2 linked regions of the Cricetulus griseus genome follow. The protein of the gene in region 2 purifies or fractionates together with the protein of the main gene of each other region. This does not show direct contact. Links are inferred from orthologs where the notes say so. Each region holds a gene or a part of one and is shown on either strand. Other genes may lie near its edges.

Region 1 (3,648 bases), on a different chromosome or scaffold from region 2:
CCCTACCTTTTCACTAGAGAAAGACTCACCTCCATGCTGGACTTGGAATCTCCCATCACAGGTAGCAGCAGTGTTAGGACATCTTCCCGATTGGAGCCAGCATAAGCCAAGCCTAGACTACAAAGTCAGGAGATAAAGCCCCAGCTGTGTCAGGGACACAGCAAAAAACAACAAAAATAGAACCGATCACCAACACATTCACCAAGAGCCAGATACTTAATGGCAAATGGTAGTCTTTGGCAATGACTTCTCTAGAGTTTATAAGCTGAGCACTAACAGAAAGAGAAGCAGTCTCAGAAATCTAAGAATTTAAAAATAAATAAGGAAAGAGCAGCAGGAAACCTTACCCAAAGATGGAACCAAGTCTCATGGTATTGCTGTTATGGAGAACATAATCTGAAAGCAGTGCCAGGGCAGGGTCACACTCATTCCGGACCCCAGAGTTCACGATCCCACAGGCAAGGAGAGCTCCTGACTGCAAAGAGCAAGCAGACTCTTAACTACAAAGTGTGCAGCAGGACCTCTCTGTGGCACCTGCCTTACCTGGGGTGAAAAACTGGGCATGACTCAGGTGGTGGTTTGAACTGAGAATGGTCCTCATAGACTGACATATTTGAATGCTTGGTCCCTAGTTGGTCGAATTGTTCTGGGTAGGATTAGAAGGTGTGGATTTATTGGAGGAAGTGTGTCACTGGAGGTGCGCTTCAAGGCTTCAAAAGCCCAGGACAGGACCAGTGCCTGTCTCCCACGTGCAGATAAGATGTGAGCTCTCAGCTACTGCTCCAGCACCATTCCTGCCTGCTGTTGCCATGCTCTCCACAATGATGTTTATGGGCTGACTTTCTGAAACTATAAGCAAGCCCCCAACTAAATACTTTCTTTTCTTTTTTCTTTTGTTTTTTAGAAAAAAGGTTTCTCTGTAGCCCTAGCTGTCCTGGAACCTGCTCTGTAGACCAGGCTGACCTCAAATTTACAGAGATCCACCTGCCTCTGCCTCCCCAGTGCTGGGATTAAAGGCATGTACCACCACTGTCCAGCTAAAATACTTAGTAAGTTGTCTTGGTCATTGAGTCTCTTCACAGAGATAGAAAGTAACTAAGCCACCTCATAAGGGGGGGGGGGGCGCACATGAGAAGAACATGAGAAGAAAAAGTCCACAGTGAATTAGCTTTGCCCAGACTAACCTTGATATAGTCCTCAGAGGAGTACAGGTACTTGTCAATCTGGGTGAGGCCACCATCCACATCCCACAGCAGAATCATGCCAAGGGACGCAGCAGCACTTAACATCCCTATGACAAGGAAGACTATCAGTTTTAGAAAGGCCTACCCAAAGGAACTTATAAAGGAGTCCCCTGGAAACTGTACTGTGGGTCCTTCTCAAGTAACACCTGACTTTATGACAAAAAGAGAAAATTATACCATGGTCCTTGTTCTTGTAAAGCCATTTGTTGCCATCATCAGTCAGCAGTTTATCTTGACCAAAGGCTGCGTTCACAAAGCCATTCACAAAAGAGGAGGCCAGGTTCATTCGGGCAGAGTCCACCTGAGAGCCACTGCCACCAAACCCTGTACAAGGGGATATAGAAGAGGCAGTTTAGCATAGGACCTGAAAGGAACACAACCTGGTAGGCAGTCCCTGATTTTGTTTTTGTTTTTCTGTTTTGTTTTCCAGGACAGGGTTTCTCTGTGAAGCCCTGAGTATCTGGAACTTCTATAGACCAAGCTGGCCTTGAACTTAAGAGATCTGCTGCCTCTGCCTCTAGCAAGTTCTGGGATGAAAGGTATTTGCCACCACTACCCAGCCTGAGTCTCTGATTTTAAGTTAGTCCCATAGTCTAAGTCTCCAACAGTGTCCTGGACATAAGTTCATGGGAATTTGAAGTTCTTTATAGTGGTTTAGCCAAGCCATTATTCCCAATGCAATAGTCCCTCCAACCCACACACAGAGCTACTCACTGTTATTCTCTAGGTGTGTTTTGTAGATGTCATCAGGTACCTTGGGCTCCATAATGTCCAGCTAAAAAGAAGCCAGAGGGTCACAACTGCCTCCCCAGTATTCCCCTAGCTGTCCCTTCTGCTGCCCAAATGAGTAACAACTTTAACCAGGAGTCTAGTGAAAGGTATTAGGGAGACAGAATGACAGGTAGAATTTCAACAAAAGCTTTAGGTCAAGAGCAGAGAATCTCACCTCCCGAGCTAAGGCCAAGAAGTTGCTGTTGAGCTGTACATTGGACATGATTTCTGTGAGGTCTTCATACTCCTCTACATCTTCACTCAGCTCCAGGAAGACTCCATGGCGACCCAGCATGAATGCCATCTGCTTCTGTACCACCCTGTGAGGAAAGCCATCACATCTGCTCATTCTCACCTACACACCTGCTCATTCTCACCTACCGTGGGACAGAAAAGTGTCCTGTGCTCCCACCAGAAACTGTCAAGTCCCTGATTTTCACACAAATGCTCATGCACAAACTTATCTCTTCCTTTACCAACTTCTCTACGTACACATCCTTGCAGGAGGTGAAAATGTCTTCCACCAGTTCCATATCATTGAGCATCAATGCCAATCTCAGAGCTTCAGGGAAACGGCTGAACTTTCGGAACACACCCAAGGCACAGCGCAGTAGGGCAGAGTTCTCAGGTTCTGGTACATAATTCACACAACTACAAAAAGGCAAAAGAGATAAAAATTCAGAAAGTGCATTTCATTTATTTAATTCCTTTATTCAAATATATACTAAATGCATGTTCCAAGGTACTATGTTTCAAGATAGTTAAGGAGATACAAAGTTTCTGTCCTCAAGAAATTCATGGCATCAGCAAGTGACTATAGCCTAAGGTGACCCTAAGATCCTCTGGGAGAAGAGGCAAAATGAAAGCAGTGCTTTAGAAGGCAAGCCTGCTGCCGCCCTGTGCCATGCTCGCCTACCTGGTGAGATAGAGGCAGACCTTTGAGTACGCGTTCTCATCTATGTCCTTCTCCAGCATGTCTACTTGCTCAATTTCCATGAGCAGGTCACAAGCCTCATGCTCCGCGTTATGAGCCATATTGTAGGGGACAATCTCCTTCACCAAGGTAAGCAGTGGTTCCCGCTGCGCTTTCTCTGCATCATCCAGCTCCTGCCACTCCTTAGCCACTTCTCCTGCCAGATGTCTATGGACAAACACAATCATTAGGGAAGCAGGTCCCTGGGAGACTCTGGGGAATTGAATGCATTGCTATTTTCCCAAACCAACAGAATTGTGCCTACAAGTCCTTCACGTTCCCAAGAAGAAACTACCTTACCTGACATACTCATGACCCCATGATGCCAATTCCTCCTGGGAGCCCACTAGCCGATACTTGAGGCATTCACGCTCACCACTCATGGTCATGGCCAAAACAGATATGATGTCAGCAGCAAAACACTGTAAAGAAACCAATCTTTTTAAGGCAAAACCCAACAGTTCAAGGAAAACAGTATGTGACAATACACAAGTAAGATCACTGTCCCCAAAGTTCACCAATAAAATTCACAATATACTTGTTTCTATACTGAAAATTTCCATGTGATCTAAGCTAAGTCTCAAAGAAAACCTAAAGTTGGTGTTGCTAGCTCCCTCCAAAGCCAACCTAACTGAAGGGCAATAAGCAATGTAGAATCAA
Region 2 (4,382 bases):
AAATCTTACAGCATTTGCTAGCAAAAATACATGCCAAAGTCACAATAAGCAATATTTTACCACAAATTAGAGAGCTTCAAATAATTTGCTTCTTTTTTAATATCTCCATTCTACATTAAATTACTATCATAGGCTAATGTTTAAAATGCAAATAAACTGGACATCTGTAGGACAGAACTTGTTCACCCAACTGTGAAGGCTGATACCTGTTTCCAAAAATCACAATAAATGCAGAATAAAGAGAAGTGTTTGCATGCAACACCTTTGAGTGAAACAGCATTGATCCCCACCATTCAAATCAGAGAAGGAAGGAAATCCAAAGAAGAAAAGGAAGGAAAGAAGAAGGGAGGGAAGGAAACAAAGAGGGGAGAGGGCAGGCTGGAAGGGAAGGGAGAGAGAGGGTGGGAGGGAGGGTGGCGGGAGGAGGAGGAGCAGGAAGGGAAAGAAGGGAGGGACTCCACCTTAAAATGCATCCTTTTAGATTTATAAGTAGACAGATTTAAAAGAATCAAAATAAAAGTAAAGCACAATTTTGTGTGTTTAAAGATTTAAGAGCCATTATCAAAAATAAGATACATTTTTTCAAGGTACAGAAATGTAATTACGATGGCTGAGAGCCCAGCAGCCTCTCAATGGCCGCATTGATGTCGCCTCCTGTTGCTATTAGGGCCTGCAAGTTTGCTTCACGATTTATGAACCCCATGGCGTTGAGCTGTTCCAGTTGCTGCTGAAATCTCATTTCTGCACTCGCCATCTGGGCAGGAGTTGGTCCTGCTCCTCCTCCTGCCAGAGCCTGCACCATCTGATGAATGAACTGCGGGCTGGGTAAAGTTTCCATTGTCGGACTGATGGTATCAGTAGCTGCACAGCTGCTCACAGTGGTTGCAGGGGGGACCCCAGTGCCGGTGGATCCAGGAGAGCTTGCAGGGCCAGTGGGTCCTATAGGCCCAATAGGGCCTATGGGGGTGAAAGGAACTATAGGACCCATGGGCCCTATGGGAGTGACTGGGCCCACAGGGGTTATGGTGGTTCCCAGGACTCCCACCCCCACACCTGGAGCGAAGCTTGGAATGAGGCCAGGTGCTTCAGTGGCTAGTGTCTGTAGCCCCTGCTGGATCTGCATTAACGCTTGCATCGCTCTCGGATTTGACATGGCCGCAAGCGTGTCTGGATTCTGCATCTGCTGCAGGAAATTCGGGAGCTGTGGACGCATCTGCTCTTGCAGCTGAGGATTTGAAGCAAACAGTGGGCTACTCATCATCATCTGGGCAGCCAAATCTGGATTCTGGCTCAGCGACTGCATCATGCTTCTCATGTAGGGTGCAGACAGCATATTCTGAATCAGCTGGGGATTTTCAGTTATCTGTTGCAGCAGGTTCTGCATTCCTGGTGTACTAAAGATGCTAGCAACATAATTAGCTGCCGCCATGGTGTTCCCGAAGGTGCTACTAGAGGAGCTACCGCCAGGCATAGTGCCACTGCTTGTGGTCGTGGTGTTGGTCGGAGAGCCCTGGGTAGCTGGCGTTGGTGCCCAAGGATTGGGCAGTGGATCCCGGTTTTCTGTGCGGGAAGGCTGGGTGCCCTCCCCTGAGGAACTGCTCCCCACCGTGGCAAAGGGGTTACCCCCAAACTGCTCCTGTGCGGCATTCAGCATGGGCTCTTGAATGTCAGTGTACATGCGCCGCAGAGCATTGTAGCCACCTGGGATGCTTTCGAGATTACTGAGAGCCAGGTCTTGATTTCTCATCATCTCTTGCATCATGGCAGGATTCCTGGCGATTTCGAGAGTCTGCCTCATTATATCTGGGTTGTTCAGTAGGTGACTGATCTCTGGGTTTCTCTGGATCAGTTGTTGCATCTGCGGATTGGCCATAATGAGCTGCCTCATCAGATCAGGATTCGAAAGCATGCTCTGAACAAAGGGATTTTCCATGATCTGGATCATCATCTCAGGGCTAGCCATGAGCTGCTGCTGCATATGGTTCTGAAGCTCAGTGAAGCTGGTCGAGTTCAGACCCAGGCTGCTAAGGCTAGCAAGTCCTCCCAGGGTCCCCGACGCAAACGGATTGTTATTCGTGAGAGAAGGTGTGGAGAGACTCCTGGGAGCCGTTGTCGACGCTGGCGCCGTTGGCGCCCCTGGCGCTGTTGCGGCCGTGGTGGTGGTGGTGGTCGTGCATGTTCCCGCAGTGGTGCTAGGCTGCGTGGTGGACTGGCTCTGAGGGCGGTTCTGGTTTTTGATGACAAGGTGAACAGTCAGTCCATCATGGATGCCATGCTGCATCAAGGTATCTTGATCTTTCAAGATTTTTCCGGCAAAAATCAGCACGAGCTGATCGATTTGCGATTTGAAGCGTTTAGAAATCGCTTCCTTAAACTGCTGGACGGTGCTATTCTCGGGCACCGCGAACTCCTCTTTCTCTTTGGGGGTCTTCACAGTGACTTTGATGATTTTGGGCTCGGCTGGCTCGGTGGCCTCGCCTTGGGCCGCAGCGGCAGGGCCGCGGGAGGGGCGCGGGGGGCCGCTGCTCTCGCCGTTCTCAGCCATGGCGGCCGCGGTGACGCAGGCTGGCAGGGAAGGCGCTGGCGAGCGAGAGGGCGCGAGGGAAAGAGGAAGGAAGGAGGCGCCGCAGCAGAGGACTGGGCGGCCCCGCGAGCAGTGCGGAACACAGTACCTCGGAGATGAATGGAGGCTGCAGCTCCCGGTAGTCGGATGCGCACAGGGTTTGGCGTAGGCCGCGGCCGAGCGCTGAGCGAGCAGGTCTCCAGGCCTTCTCCGCCGCCGCCTTGTGATCTGTCCGCGCGCACTCCCAGCAACTCCTGCAGCTGCGGTGCCCGCGCTCCCGCCCCGCCCCGCCCCGGCCCGGCCCCGCCCCCTGCTGACGCGGCGCCAGCCCAGCCACAGTCGCTCGGCCGAGTGCAAAACTCCTGGCCTGCAGAGGGGGGGAAAGGAGGGAGAGAGAAATAAACAAAGAGAGGGGGAAGAGAAGGAGGCTGGAAGAGAAAGCGAGGGGACCCGGGCGAGGCGAGGCGAGGCGAGGCGAGGCGAGGAGAGGGGGAAGGGAGGAGGCCGGGAGGAGGAAGAGGGAGGCAGCTTCTTTAGCAGCCCCTGAAAGACCAATGGAGAATGTGGGTTCGCAATCTGGGAGGCAGTGAAAGGATGAAAGCCTGAATTGAACCGATCCCATGCAAAGGACGAAAAATGAATAGTAAAGAACTCTGACAAAGCAAAAAGGGAAAACGAACACCCGGATGGGGGAAGGGCAGGCATGGCGGGAGCGAGCATTTTACAAAAGAAGCGAAAAAACGGCCAGCAGGCTTCTAAAATATGATTGTGCTCGCTATTAATCAAAGGGATTCAAATAAAAACAATGAGATTTTACTTCGACTTTATCATATTTGCAAAGATGAAAGAGAATGTTAAATCTTGTTGACCAGGAGCCGAGAAAATGCACTCTCATGCTAGTTGTAGTATGAATTGTAATACGGCAGTTTGAAAATACAAATGAACATTTTGAATATTTGCACCTTTGTTTAGAAATACCTAATCGATTCAAAAAAGCATATTATGATGTATATTAATAACGTAGCATTTAAAAACAGTGTTTAGATATTTTCAATGTGTGTGTAAAACATAGAATTACTCAAACATACTACGATAGTGCCATACAATAAAATAATCCCTGTATCTAAAAGATGGTGGCTAATTCATGTAATATTAAGTGTCTCTAAAAGTGTACATCAAAATGCACTGTAGTGACGAGAAAATAATAGATGGTATTTAATATGGGTTAATATTTTTTCTAAACAAATGGAAACAATACAGGCATGTAGATATTGATCAAAAAGCTAGTAGCCTGTGTGGAAAAGAAATCTGAAAGGCTGTACTCCAGTAAAGGTAACAATTAGAGCTGAAATTGTGAATAATTCTTATTTTCTATTTTTATCAGATTTTCAATTTGATGGATAAGTATGCATTGCATTTATAATTTTTAAAAACAACAAATATATTTCCAGACAAGAATGTAGGTAAAAACTGACAGCCAGACAATAGTGGTGGCAAAGATTAACCTATTTATCTTTTGCATTACTGAGTAAAGGAAATAACAATGTAGTATTACTGATAAAGAGAACATGAATCATAAAATAAATCCTTTCAAAAGCATGTATTAATTTCTCCTGCTTTAACCACAGAAAATCATTTTTCCCGTACAAAAACCTAGAGATAATTTAACAGCATTTCAAAATCATTACGTCACAAGTACCTCAATAAATCTCAGTATAAAACAAAATGCAGGCCTTGAATAAAAATGTGATTGTACATGGTAGGTTTAATATTAATATAATATACAATGTAAAGTAAACTTGCTTTAAATATAATTGTT

Evidence for each region. The genes of interacting proteins can lie anywhere in the genome.
Region 1: the proteins of Ubqln2 (region 2) and Psmd2 purify together in Homo sapiens (affinity purification with mass spectrometry, with the first as the bait; 3 studies listed by BioGRID). This does not show direct contact. The link is inferred for Cricetulus griseus from reciprocal best matches to the Homo sapiens genes UBQLN2 and PSMD2.

What each region holds. Positions count from the first base shown.
Region 1 is NC_048597.1:67,989,419-67,993,066, forward strand, and holds part of Psmd2 (26S proteasome non-ATPase regulatory subunit 2), read right to left. Parts: intron 3,411-3,648; coding exon 3,289-3,410; intron 3,157-3,288; coding exon 2,932-3,156; intron 2,667-2,931; coding exon 2,508-2,666; intron 2,336-2,507; coding exon 2,191-2,335; intron 2,020-2,190; coding exon 1,959-2,019; intron 1,569-1,958; coding exon 1,422-1,568; intron 1,292-1,421; coding exon 1,185-1,291; intron 476-1,184; coding exon 348-475; intron 118-347; coding exon 30-117; intron 1-29. UniProt on the Homo sapiens protein: Component of the 26S proteasome, a multiprotein complex involved in the ATP-dependent degradation of ubiquitinated proteins.
Region 2 is NC_048604.1:111,414,103-111,418,484, reverse strand, and holds the start of Ubqln2 (ubiquilin-2), read right to left. Parts: upstream 2,819-4,382; 5' UTR 2,546-2,818; coding exon 602-2,545; 3' UTR 1-601. UniProt on the Homo sapiens protein: Plays an important role in the regulation of different protein degradation mechanisms and pathways including ubiquitin-proteasome system (UPS), autophagy and the endoplasmic reticulum-associated protein degradation (ERAD) pathway.